2 linked regions of the Macaca mulatta genome follow. The protein of the gene in region 1 binds, or shares a complex with, the protein of each later gene. Links are inferred from orthologs where the notes say so. Each region holds a gene or a part of one and is shown on either strand. Other genes may lie near its edges.

Region 1 (5,724 bases):
CCAGCTACTAGAGAGGCTGAAGTGGGAGGGTTATTTGAACCTGGGAAGTCGAGGCTGCAGTGAGCTGAGATCATGCCACCGCACCACAGCCTGGGTGACAGGGAGACCCTGTCTCAAAAAAAAAAAAAAACAAATATAGCCTTGTGATAAAAGAAATATTTTGCTCACAACTTACAGTGTTAAGTGAAAACCACAGGGTCCTGAATTTATACACACATGAGTTTGTATAACTGCATATAGTTAAAAGACCAGAAGAAAATATAACAAAATATTAACAAGGAATATCAGGAGTGGAGGGATTATGGGTAATTTTTAATTTCTTCTTTATATCTTTCTGAATTTTCCTACATTTCTATGATGAACAAGCACTATTATTACAATAAGGGAAACATTTGAGGGTAGACACAATATTGAGGAAAATTCCATTTCAAAACAGTATAAATTATACAAGGAATGTATAATGTCATTGCAGAGGATACAAATGATGATGATGTATAAAGGTAAACATGAAGTTCCCTCTTAGCACACCCAGCTACTCCAGCCCTCCCTACACAGGAATTCTCTCACTGGCAGTACAACCACTGGTGATTTTTTTTTTTTTTTTTTCTGAGACAGAGTCTTGCTCTGTTTCCCAGGCTGGAGTACAGTGGCACAATCACACCTTACTGCAGCCTCCAACTCCTGGGCTCAAGCAATCCTCCTGCCTTAGCCTCCCAAGTAGCTAGGACTATAGGCACACACCACACTGAGCTAATTTTTGTATTTCTAGTAGAAATGCAGTCTCACTATATTGCCCAGGCTGGTCTTGATCTTCTGGCCTCAAGCAGTCCTCCCACTCTGGCCTCACCAAATGCTGGGATTATAGGCATGAGCCACTATGCCCAGTACCACTGGTAATTAATGGCCTGGGGTCCTTCCTTCTAATGCCCTTCCAAGTGAGCATGTATTAATTAGGAGTTTTACACCACATACTACCAGGCAAATATACAAACTGAGTTATGTTGTTTCTTTATTTTTTATTATGCCAATAACAATCTTTCTTTTCTAATATTATTTGCTTCAGTGCTCCAGAACCTGGAACTCAAGATGCCAGCATCCCAGTTGAGAAACTTCCCCGGTGGGTAAAAAGCTCTGATTTGTACCAGTGTTCCTGGTTACAAAAAAAATAGACATCAAAATCTAAACATGTATTTGGCAAGATGCCTCTTAAATCAAATGCACAAATGTGAAAACTAGCCTTGACCTCTAAGACCAAAAGTGAAAGGACAAAGGATGAACCAAAGTAGGATGAAAAAAATGATTTCTTTCCAACCCCTTTTTGCTTTGTGTTCTGGCGGGATCATTTCAGGTCGGGAAAGTTTCTGAAGCTGTTGTGTGACAGGTGGTTACCCAGTGTACAGAAAGCATATGGGCTGACCTATAACTGGTCAAATAACATCACTGGCATTATTAATCCATGGTTAAGGAGGCAATGAATAAGGAGGCAATGAAAGGACGTGAATAGGAGAGGTTACAGGACCCAACAGAATGTTCATAGATAAAAAAAAAAAAAAAAAAAAGGAAGATTTTGATGCCAATTTTTCAAAACCAGACATTAAAACAGCACTTCTATAATCTGTAATTGGATCAGAGGTTTTTTTGTTGCGGGTTTTTTTGTTTTTTTGGGTTTTTTTTGAGATGGAATCTCACTTGATGTCCAGGCTGGAGTGCAGTGGCGCGATCTTGGCTCACTGTAACCTCCGCCTTCTGGATTCAAATGATTCTCTTGCCTCAGCCTCTCGAGTAGCTGGGATTACAGGCGCCCGCCAGCATGCCCGGCTATTTTTTGTGTTTTTAGTAGAGACGAGGTTTTGCCATGTTGGCCAGGCTGGTCTTGAGCTCTTGACCTCAGGTGATCCACCCACCTCGGCCTCCCAACATGCTGGGATTACAGGCATGAGCCACCGCGCCTGGCTGGATTAGAGTGTTTTTAAGGTAAAATAAAACAGCACTTCTAAAAGTGTTTCATAGAATATTAATTTAATATTACGTTGAGAGACATTACTTGATAAAAACATGTTAGGCACTCAAATTACAGAAATGTTAGACTAAACAAAGTTAAAATATGTTTGCTCTACTGCAGGACTTTTCAGAGCATTTATTCCACATTGCTGCCTTCTAAAAAGTGGTTATAAAATGTATGTTAATGCTTTACTGACTTATTTAACCACAGAACCTTTTAAATTTTCCTTATGAGGGTTTTAATTGCTAAATATTAAAGTTTTCTTCTGAAGGAATAGGGAGACCTGGAGGACTTCTATGATGCAGGAGATTACGATGATGAAAATGGTGTTTGAGGGATGATTTTAGGAGGTGTATAGAAGGTGACCCTGAGGTAGGAGGGAGTGAAAGAAAGAGATTTTTAGTAATGGATACAGGAAAGCTGACTACATACGGGACCAGAGAGACGTGAACCTGAGAGCACATGAAAGGTCATCGATGAAATTAGGGGATGCTTGGGGTGGGAGGCAAACCTGAGTCCAGTATGACTCCCAGGTCTGGGTGGCTGTGAGCACAAGTGTGAGCATAATGAAGGAACCGGGAAAGCTTAGCTGAAACAATCTGTCAGCACATCAAGTACACAGAGACAAGATAAAAAACAAGGACAGTTCGGCAGGGCGCGGTGGCTCACGCCTGTCATCCCAGCACTTTGGGAGGCTGAGGCAGGCATATCATGAGGTCAGGAGTTCGAGACCAGCCTGGCCAATATAGTGAAACCCCATCTCTACTAAAAATACAAAAATTAGCCGGGTGTGGTCGCATACGCCTGTAGTCCCAGCTACTCGGTAGGCTGAGGCAGGAGAATGGCGTGAACCCGGGAGGCGGAGCTTGCAGTGAGCCGAGACCACGCCACTGCACTCCAGCCTGGGCTGCTAACAGAGCGAGACTCCGTCTCAAAAAAAATAAATTAAAAAAAAAAAAAAAAAAAAAAGGACCGTTACACCTGATGCTTCACATGCAAGGCAACTTTATATAGGCTGGGAGGAGAGTGTAGGGAATAAGAGGCATCAGAGGTGAACCATCTGGACGTACTGGGTTTGGGGTAGCCCCTGGCCGCCCTCCGATCCAGCTGGGCAGACTTTGCTCGGGGTTGGCTCAAGGATCCCATTCTTCCAGGTGTGAAGAGGCAGGCTGCGGAGGCTTGCTGCGCCCTCACGTCGTGTGGTTTGGAGAAAACCTGGATCCTGCCATTCTGGAGGAGGTTGACAAAGAGCTCGGCCGCTGTGATTTATGTCTAGTGGTGGGTCACGGCTTTCCCTGACCCCAAGCAGGACTGGAGTTAGTTATTTTTTGCTTCCCCCTCTCCCCTTTTCCGTCCTCGCTCCCTTGCTTCTTTCCTTCCCGCCTTCTCTCCCCCCTCCCCTTCTTCCTTTCCTTAAAATGTATGTTGAGAGGTCTTTGTGGCATCCTATAGAAAAACTGAGAAACAATGAATAAGAATTTATATTAAAATGGGAAACCATGCATGTCTTGGACATCTCAAAGCCTTCTCCCCCAGCCCCACCAAAAAAAAAGAACATACTATTGGTTTTTAAAATAATACGTGCTTATGATTAAATGTAATTGAGAACATGCAAAAATTATCACATTATAAAGAGGAAATTAGAAATCGCCCATAGTTCTGCTAATCAGAAATAGTTACCATTAGCAGTTTAGTATATTTTCTTCTAGACCAGGAGTGAGCAAACAGCAGCCTTTGGGCCACATTGGGCCTGCTACCTGTTTTTGTAAATAAAGTTTTATTGGAACTCAGCCGCACTCATTCTTCCACACACTATGACTACTTTCAAACTACAGTGGCAGAGTTGAGTACTTGTGACAGAGACTGAATGGCTGCAAAGCCTGAAAAATTTACTCTATGGTCCTTTTCAGAATAAGTTTGCCCACCTCTGGTCTAAACCTTTTCTTATGCAGATGTACACATATTAATTAAAATTCAAAACTGACTTCATGACATATGTTCTGTTTTGAAACTACTTTATTCACGCAGCAGTTCACTTAGCATATTCCATGTCAGTACATCTAAATCAATATCATCTTTCAGTTGACTGTATGGTGTTTTATATGGATAGGGAATGATATATTTAGCTAATTCTCTACTGTAAGACATTTGGGCTATTTCAAATTTTGATATTTTAATCAATGATATCGTACATATCCTTAGATAGAAATCTTACCATGCTCTTCAAATGATTTCCTTAAGACACATTTCCTAAAAGTGGGATTAATTGGACAGATTGTATGCATATTTCAAATTTTTCTGGACACATCTTTAAAAGCAGAGGCACTTTCTTGTGGTGCATATTCATTCAGCCAGTATTTAAAGAATGCTTTCCAATGTCGAGTATAGTATCACTGTTGATGATGGATTGTTAAATGAGAAAAGCTGGTTTACAAACCAGTCATGCTCTTCCCATCCCTGCAAAGAATGTTTATAAGCAAATATTTATGAGAGAAAACCTAAGAGGACATACATGAAAATGTTAACAGTGGTTATCTTGGGGTAAGATTATTGATGATATCTATTTTTTTTCTTCGTATTTTCTACCTTTAACAAAAAGAAAATATGTTTTAAAAAGTTATGGATCATTTGCTTAACTTTAAAGCAGAAACAAAACCAGAACTACCCCCAAAACATGTTGAGTCACTTCTAAGTCACTCTTTTGTTAACTCTCCTTTTCATGTCACATATTCTTGTCGATTCTAGTGATTGATCAAAGGACAGCTCTTCACTTTCCCTCATCCCTTGGACACCCTGTTTTATCCCATCCTGTTTGGCTTTTCTCACACCTGCAACCACAGACCTATCTGAGTTTGTGTAAGGTTTTCTGAAAAAATGTTCCTTCTTGTCGTGTGGCCGTTTGTCCATCTCCATGTGCTTGCCTTGTAGGTGGGCACTTCCTCTGTGGTGTACCCAGCCGCCATGTTTGCCCCCCAGGTGGCTGCCAGGGGCGTGCCAGTGGCAGAATTTAATACGGAGACCACCCCAGCTACGAACAGATTCAGGTACTGGGATACCCTGATGGGAGAGGGCGATGTGGGAGGCAGGTGCAGACATGGTCATCTAAACATAGTTGACCTACTCCTCTAATTTTTAAAAAAGACACAGGGTTTGTGTTTTTTTGTTTGATCTGCAGTTGCTTTTATGGAAGAACAAAATCATTCACTGTAGACTAAGGTAGGGTAGCTCTGTCATTGTACACGACATTTGCCATGGGACTTTTGTTTGTTCACATTTTGAAAGCTCTTCTTTGATTCCTTAGGCTTTGCTTTCCCTTACATTTTTAAGCTAGACTCAGTGATGGCCTTTAGTTGTAGGTTACCCAGATGCTCCGCAAGTAAGCCTGGGAGACGCCCTTGCAGAACCTCATCACCTGCCGTTCTCACTGGGAGGCCACCTGGCAGATTCCCCTTTGGTCTAATCGCCAAGGTTATCTGTATCTGTGGCCATGTTATGACACTGATCCTGCTTCCCAAGTTTAGGTGGGAAGTGTAGATTGTCATAGTATGCATTTTTAGTCTTATTCCTGGGTCTGTTTTATGTCTTCACCCTTCTGTCTTTTTTCTCACTCCAACTTTTTTTTGCCTTTACTTCTTATTCTTGTCCATCTAGTTAATTCCTTTTGAATAAGTTAGACTATAAATAAGTAGTAAATGAATATAAATGAATAAAATAGAAAACTT
Region 2 (6,416 bases), on another chromosome or scaffold:
ATCGAGACCATCCTGACTAACACGGTGAAACCCCGTCTCTACTAAAAAATACAAAAAAACTAGCCGGGCGAGGTGGCAGGTGCCTGTAGTCCCCGCTACTCGGGAGGCTGAGGCAGGAGAATGGCGTAAACCTGGGAGGCAGAGCTTGCAGTGAGCTGAGATCCGGCCACTGCACTCCAGCCTGGGCGACAGAGCGAGACTCCGTCTCAAAAACAAAACAAAACAAAACAAGAGATAATGTGAATTTCTCCAATAATAAAATAGAGGAGGGCCAGATGCAGTAGCTCACACCTGTTATCCCAGCACTTTGAAAGGCTGGGGCAGGTAGAGGGCTTGAGCCCAGGAGTTGGAGATGGTGCCCATCTCTACAAAAAACACAAAAATTAGCCGGGCATGGTGGCATGCCCCTACAGTCCCAGCTACTTGGGAGGCTGAGGTGGGAGGATCGCCTGAGTCCAGAGAGGTAGAGGCTGCAGTGAGCCATGACTGCACCACTGCACTCCAGCCTGGGTGACAGAATGAGACCCTGTCTCAAAAATAAAAATAAATAAAGAAAATAGAGGAGGAATACTAAAAAGATAATTGAGCTAGTATGTCCAGACATAATGAAGCATGTGGTTTCTCCAGAAGTGGTTTGGTCCTAGGATATATACCCTGTAATCACTTGATAATCACTACTTCAACATGAAGGTAACAACCTAAATACTTCTTTCTAGGAGACAAAACGTTTTACAGTCAAACATAACACTGACACAAATCTAACAAGCCATCCCTAGAATATAAAATAACCCCATCTCAATGAGCCCAGTGTAAATTCTCTTACCTTTGTAGTCAGACAGGCTGATATCTTTAAACTGACCATCTGGCATAACGGCTGTGGCTTTGAAGTTGGGGGCAGGGTGCCCAATTTTAGCATTTCCTGAAGACATCTTCCTATTAGCTAGAAATAACAGAAATTAATTAGAAACAAGCCTTAATTTTCTAGATAACCAGCAGCCTTCACCTACTTAAGAGACTTAGCTGTAGAACAATCAAGGCATTGTCCAGTGTCCCTGAATACATTAAATGTTATTTTAGTAAGAAGCTCAGGCCAGCAGTCAAGGGTCACAATCAGAGCTTTTGAAACAAAACAAGTCTCTGAATCTCAGCCTTTGTTTTCATTTAAAAACGACAAGGCAATTTCTTTATATACTAAGAAAACCTCTCACTCTTTCTGAACCATAATTAGTGCAGTGGCATCTTATTCATTAGACAGAAGCAGAGAGGGAGGCAGGTGAAGACTCTCAAACCAGAATCCGAATGCACAATGCCACAAACACTTTTGTTTGGCTCATAGTCATGTTGACCTTTCCCATTACTGTGCCTCCACCTGCCTTAATAACGTCAGAAGCATATTTGACTTTTCTCCAGGTAGCTTTGTCAAAGACAGCACACGGTCGACCTATAACTAACACAACTTGTTTTATTTTATTTTTTTTGGACGGAGTTTCGCTCTTGGGGCCCAGGCTGGAGTGCAATGGCGCTATCTCGGCTCACCGCAACCTCCACCTCTAGGGTTCAAGTGATTCTCCTGCCTCAGCCTCCGGAGTATCTGGGATTACAGGCGCTAGCCACTACACCCGGCTAATTTTTTTGTAGTTTTATTAGAGAAAGGGTTTCTCCATGTTGGTCAGGCTGGTCTCGAACTCCTCACCTCAGGTGATCGCCCAACTCAGCCTCCCAAAATGCTGGGATTACAGGTGTGAGCCACCGCACCCTTCCAGCCAGTCCAACTTTTAAGAGGCAAGACCACTGGGCGCGGTGGCTCACACCTGTAATCCCAGCACTTCCGAAGGCCGAGGCAGGCGGATCACAAGGTCAGGAGTTCAAGACCAGTCTGGCCAACATGGTGAAACCCTGTCTCTACTAAAAATACAAAAATTAGCCGAGAGTGGTGGTGCATGCCTGTAATCGCAACTACTCAGGAGGCTGCTGAAGCAGGTGAATCGCTTGAACCCGGGAGGCAGAGGTTGCAGTAAGGCAAGATCACACCACTGCACTGCAGCCTGGGCGACAGAGTGAGACTTTTCACTCTGGGCCATACAGTGAAGAAAAAAAAAAGCCGGTGGGGGGGGGGGGCGCGGGAAGACCAAGATATTGGCGTCTGCTTAATTTCAAATCTTTAGGTATTGTGTAAGCCCTAGAAGTCCCTTCACAAATGGGTTCCTGACTTCTGGGCTAATATCCCAGGGCGAAAAGAAGTAGAACAAGAATCAATTTACTTCTGAAAAGGAAGGTTGCGCAGGATTCACCCAGATCAACACCAAGATAAGCATCGAGATCTTGGCCTGTAATGCCAGCACTTTGGTAGCTGAGACAGGCAGATCACCTCAAGTCAGGAGTTCGAGAATAGCCCGGCCAACATAGTTAAACCCCGTCTCTAACAAAAATACAAAAAGTTAGCCGGGTGTGGTGGCACGCGCCCGTAGTCCCAGCTACTCCGGAGGCTGAGGCAGGAGAATCACTTGAAACCGGGAGATGGAGGCTGCAGTGAGCCGAGATCCCGCCACTGCACTCCAGCCTAGGAGACAGAGCAAGACTCCGTCTCAAAAAAAAAAAAAAAAAAAGTTCGCGACAGGCCTGGCCAACATGGTGAAACCCCGTCTCTACTACAACTACAAAAAAAAAAAAAAAATTAGCCGGGCGTGGTGACCGGCGTCTGCAGTTCCAGCTACTCAGGAGCTGATGCAGGAGAATGGCTGAACCCGCGAGGCGGAGCTTGCAGTGAGCCGAGATCGCACCACTGCACTCCAGCCTGGGCGACAAAGCGAGACTCCATCTCAAAAAAAAAGAAAAGAAAAACAGCAAAAATTTGCCGGGGCTTGGTGGCACACGCCTGTAATTCCAGCTACTCGCGAGACTGAGGGAGGAGAATTGCTTGAGTTCGGCAGACAGAGGTTGTCCCAGTAAGCCGAGACCGCACCACTGCTACTCCAGCCTGGCCGACAGAGCGAGACTCTCTCAAAAAAAAAAACAGAGTTTTAACCCACTGAGCCGCAGTCTAAAAGTTTTTCCAAGTCCTAAAGTTCTTTAAAAACTGTTTTTTAAAAAGTCCTTAACACCTTTAACGACAAAAAACAAAAACCAGAAACTAATGCATGCTGCAACTTGGTGTCCCCAAATGGCCTTCTCGTCCCATCCTACTTTCCCAGGTGGCTCCCAAGTACCAAACCCAACCAATTCGGGGTAAAGGCTGCTTCAGGCCGGCGCCGGGCCCCTTCAGGGGATCTGCCCAGTGCCGAGGGCCACACCCCTGAACCCCACTTCAGGTACCCCTGTCCCTCCCCAGCACTGTGTAAAGTACCAGCAGAAAGAGTGCTTCAGCGGGGACATTTGGGCTCATCACTAACTCCATTCCACGTACAGGAAAATAAAGACGGGGAAAGGGTACCCGAAGCTCCGCAGCTAGTCAAGGCTCAGGACCCGGAACAGCATTTACCCTATCACAAGATGGACAAAAATACAGGCTGTCTTCTACAGCCACGAGTCCGGATACAGGTCCATTCCAGAAGCTTCCCGAACCCACCCCGCCCGACAGGAGGCTAGTCTTGGAGACCCCACCACCAGCCCGCCCAGACGCCGCGCCACGTGCTCAAGTTGCCGGGGAACGACTCGACTCGAGTCCACGCTAGCCTTGGGGTCCCACGTCCCCGCACCTACGTGGGGGGCCCATGAGAGGGGTGCGCGTAGCGCTCAGGCAGTCTCGGGCTCCGGGTCTCCCCCGGCCGCCTCACGCATCACAGTACCCCCACCCAAGGGCGGGCGAGCCCCGGACAGGAGAAGGAAGAGGCAACAGACAAGAAAGGCGCGCCGCGCCTCACTCCGCAGAGGCCGCGCTGCCCACACTCACCAGTCCTAACACAACTCACAGATCAACACCACGGAAGAACAAAACAGGCAAGAACAAAACGCGCAAAATCCGCCCGGGGCGCTGCCTTTATAGCCAGTAGGGCTCTCGCGAGAGTCGGAGCGGACCAGGGGTTCTGGAAGAGAAGAAAGAGGAGGGGGATGTGGCCCGAGCCCCGCCCGGCGCGCCCCACCGGAATGACTCGGCGCTTTTCCTCGTGGGGGCGGGCGCGGAAATACTAATACCTCTCCCTGCTGCGGATGGCTGAGGCTGGAGTGAGGCGCTCTTGTGGCCGCTCCCAAACCCAAACGCTTAGGTTAATCCAAGGTCTCTGCGAAAAACCAGGATTCCCTTTACTTCCAGGACCACTACGCACTGTGCCCTTAATGCCCAAACCGGAGTAAGCGTCCTAGCTGCTGCCCACGGATGACCACGTCTAACCACACCAAGCCATGAGAACTGTCTGTCCGAATATTTCTTAAGTTAAGCAGCCTTAACCCCAGCGCAGATCCTCAGTAACCCTCATGGGTTAGATAGCTTCCTTCATTGTTCTCTTTGATTACAGGGTTGCTGCTTTCTGTTGTAAAGCAAAATAAAATATCAGGACTCCTAAACTTATGCCAAAGGGAAAGTTCAGTTTAGGACGCTGATTCAGCTACACGACCATCCTTTCCCCGGATGAATAACTTGACTTTACAATCTTGAGTCAAAATATTACACATTAGCCAGACCTACACAGTAAGGCAAAAGGCCTCAGACACTTCCTGATGACTACCCCCCACAAACACACATACACAAAATCACAATTATTTGCTACCCTGGAAACCTTTAAAGTATGTAGCCTCCCATAAAACAAGGACGTGTCAATTGTAACTAGATCTGCAATCTAAAGTCTAGTTCCTAAAACGAAAGTTTGTTGTATTCCACATTTTTTTTGAGACGAGTCTCACTCACCCTGTCGCCCAGGCTGTAGTGCAGTGGCACGGTGTAGGCTTACTGCAACCTCCACCTCCCGGGCTCAAGCGATTCTCCCGCCTAGCCTCCGGAGTATCTGGGACTACAGGCACGCACCACCATGCCCAGCTAATTTTTTATATTTTTAGTAGAGACGGGGTTTCATCCTGTTGGCTAGGCTGGCCTCCAACGCCTGACCTCAGGTGATTCACCCACCTTGTCCTCCCAAAGTGCTACGAATATAGGCGCGAGCCACCTCACCTGGCCTCTATTCCACAAATTCCATAAATGTTGACTACTATATTACCTTTCTACTAGACTACTTTCTACCTTTCTAGTAGTACCTTACTACTAGATTACCCTGAGTCCATCACACAATTGTTTTCTTCCGCTATTCCCATTTTCCTCAAACATTCACCTTATCTTGTGTAAAAATGTAGATTTAGGCCGCCGAGGAGGGGGCGGATCATAAGGTCAGGAGTTTGATACCATCCTGGTCAACATGGTAAAACCCCGTCTCTACTAAAATACAGAAAATTAGCTGGGCGCGGTGGCGCGCCTGTAGTCCCAGCTACTCGGGAGGCTGAGGCAGGGGAATCGCTTGAACCTGGAGGCAGAGGTTGCAGTGAGCCGAGATCACCACTGCACTCCAGCCTGGCAACAGAGCAAGACTCCGTCTCAAAAAACAAAATGTAGATTTACTGAGCATTAGCTAAAGTCTTCGCCTCACTTTCCCACCCCCACTTTTCAAAGAAAATGTATAAATGCTAAAAACCTCCTGAGAACCTCTTGGGAAGAAGCAGCCACAGAAGTGTCTGTGACATGGTTTAGTCTGTTTAGTCACTCATTTCGATTAACACTATCTCTTATCCATCCTTTCCACTGCAGCCGAAGGAAATTTTTCTGAAATCTGATCATGTCACTCTTATTTGTGGTTTAAAAGCTGGGGCTAAAGAAAGAAATAATAAAATAAAATTTAAAAAGAAAATAAAAATAAAAATAAATAAATAAAAGCTGAGGCTCTGTAGTCAATTTACTGAGTTAAAACTTCTCAGCCGGGCACGGTGGCTCAAGCCTGTAATCCCAGCACTTTGGGAGGCTGAGACGGGCGGATCACAAGGTCAGGAGATCGAGACCATCCTGGCTAACACGGTGAAACCCCGTCTCTACTAAAAAATACAAAAAACTAGCCGGGCGAGGTGGCGGGCGCCTGTGGTCCCAGCTACACCGGAGGCTGAGGCAGGAGAATGGCGTAAACCCGGGAGGCGGAGCTTGCAGTGAGCTGAGATCCGGCCACTGCACTCCAGCCTGGGCGACAGAGCCAGACTCAGTCTCAAAAAAAAAAAAAAAAAAAAAAACAAAAAACTTCTCACTATCAGGGCCGGGCGCAGTGGCTCATGCCTGTAATCCCAGCACTTTGGGAGGCTGAAGCAGGTGGATTACCTGAGGTCAGGAGTTCGAGACCAGCCTGACCAATGTGGAGCAACCCCGTTTCTACTAAAAATACAAAATTAGCCGAGTGTGGTGGCACATGCCTGTAATCCCAGCTACTCGGGAAGCTTAGGCAGGAGAATTG

Evidence for each region. Proteins that work in one complex are often made in the same cells at the same time.
Region 2: the proteins of SIRT5 (region 1) and PRDX1 are in contact, whole or in part, in a crystal structure (PDB 8Z54), measured with the Homo sapiens proteins. The link is inferred for Macaca mulatta from reciprocal best matches to the Homo sapiens genes SIRT5 and PRDX1. Residues at the interface, in NP_001363727.1 of Homo sapiens: Ala86, Tyr102, Arg105, Gln140, Ile142, His158, Val220, Val221, Trp222, Phe223, Gly224, Glu225, Asn226, Leu227, Leu232, Val253, Val254, Tyr255, Pro256; in NP_001189360.1 of Homo sapiens: Phe195, Ser196, Lys197, Gln198.

Annotation. Positions count from the first base shown.
Region 1 is NC_133409.1:169,515,603-169,521,326, reverse strand, and holds part of SIRT5 (NAD-dependent protein deacylase sirtuin-5, mitochondrial), read left to right. Parts: intron 1-1,063; coding exon 1,064-1,117; intron 1,118-3,156; coding exon 3,157-3,280; intron 3,281-4,930; coding exon 4,931-5,046; intron 5,047-5,177; coding exon of another isoform or gene 5,178-5,217; exon of another isoform or gene 5,218-5,724. UniProt on the Homo sapiens protein: NAD-dependent lysine demalonylase, desuccinylase and deglutarylase that specifically removes malonyl, succinyl and glutaryl groups on target proteins.
Region 2 is NC_133406.1:195,089,830-195,096,245, reverse strand, and holds the start of PRDX1 (peroxiredoxin-1), read right to left. Parts: upstream 3,957-6,416; 5' UTR 3,890-3,956; intron 941-3,889; 5' UTR 930-940; coding exon 824-929; intron 1-823. UniProt on the Homo sapiens protein: Thiol-specific peroxidase that catalyzes the reduction of hydrogen peroxide and organic hydroperoxides to water and alcohols, respectively.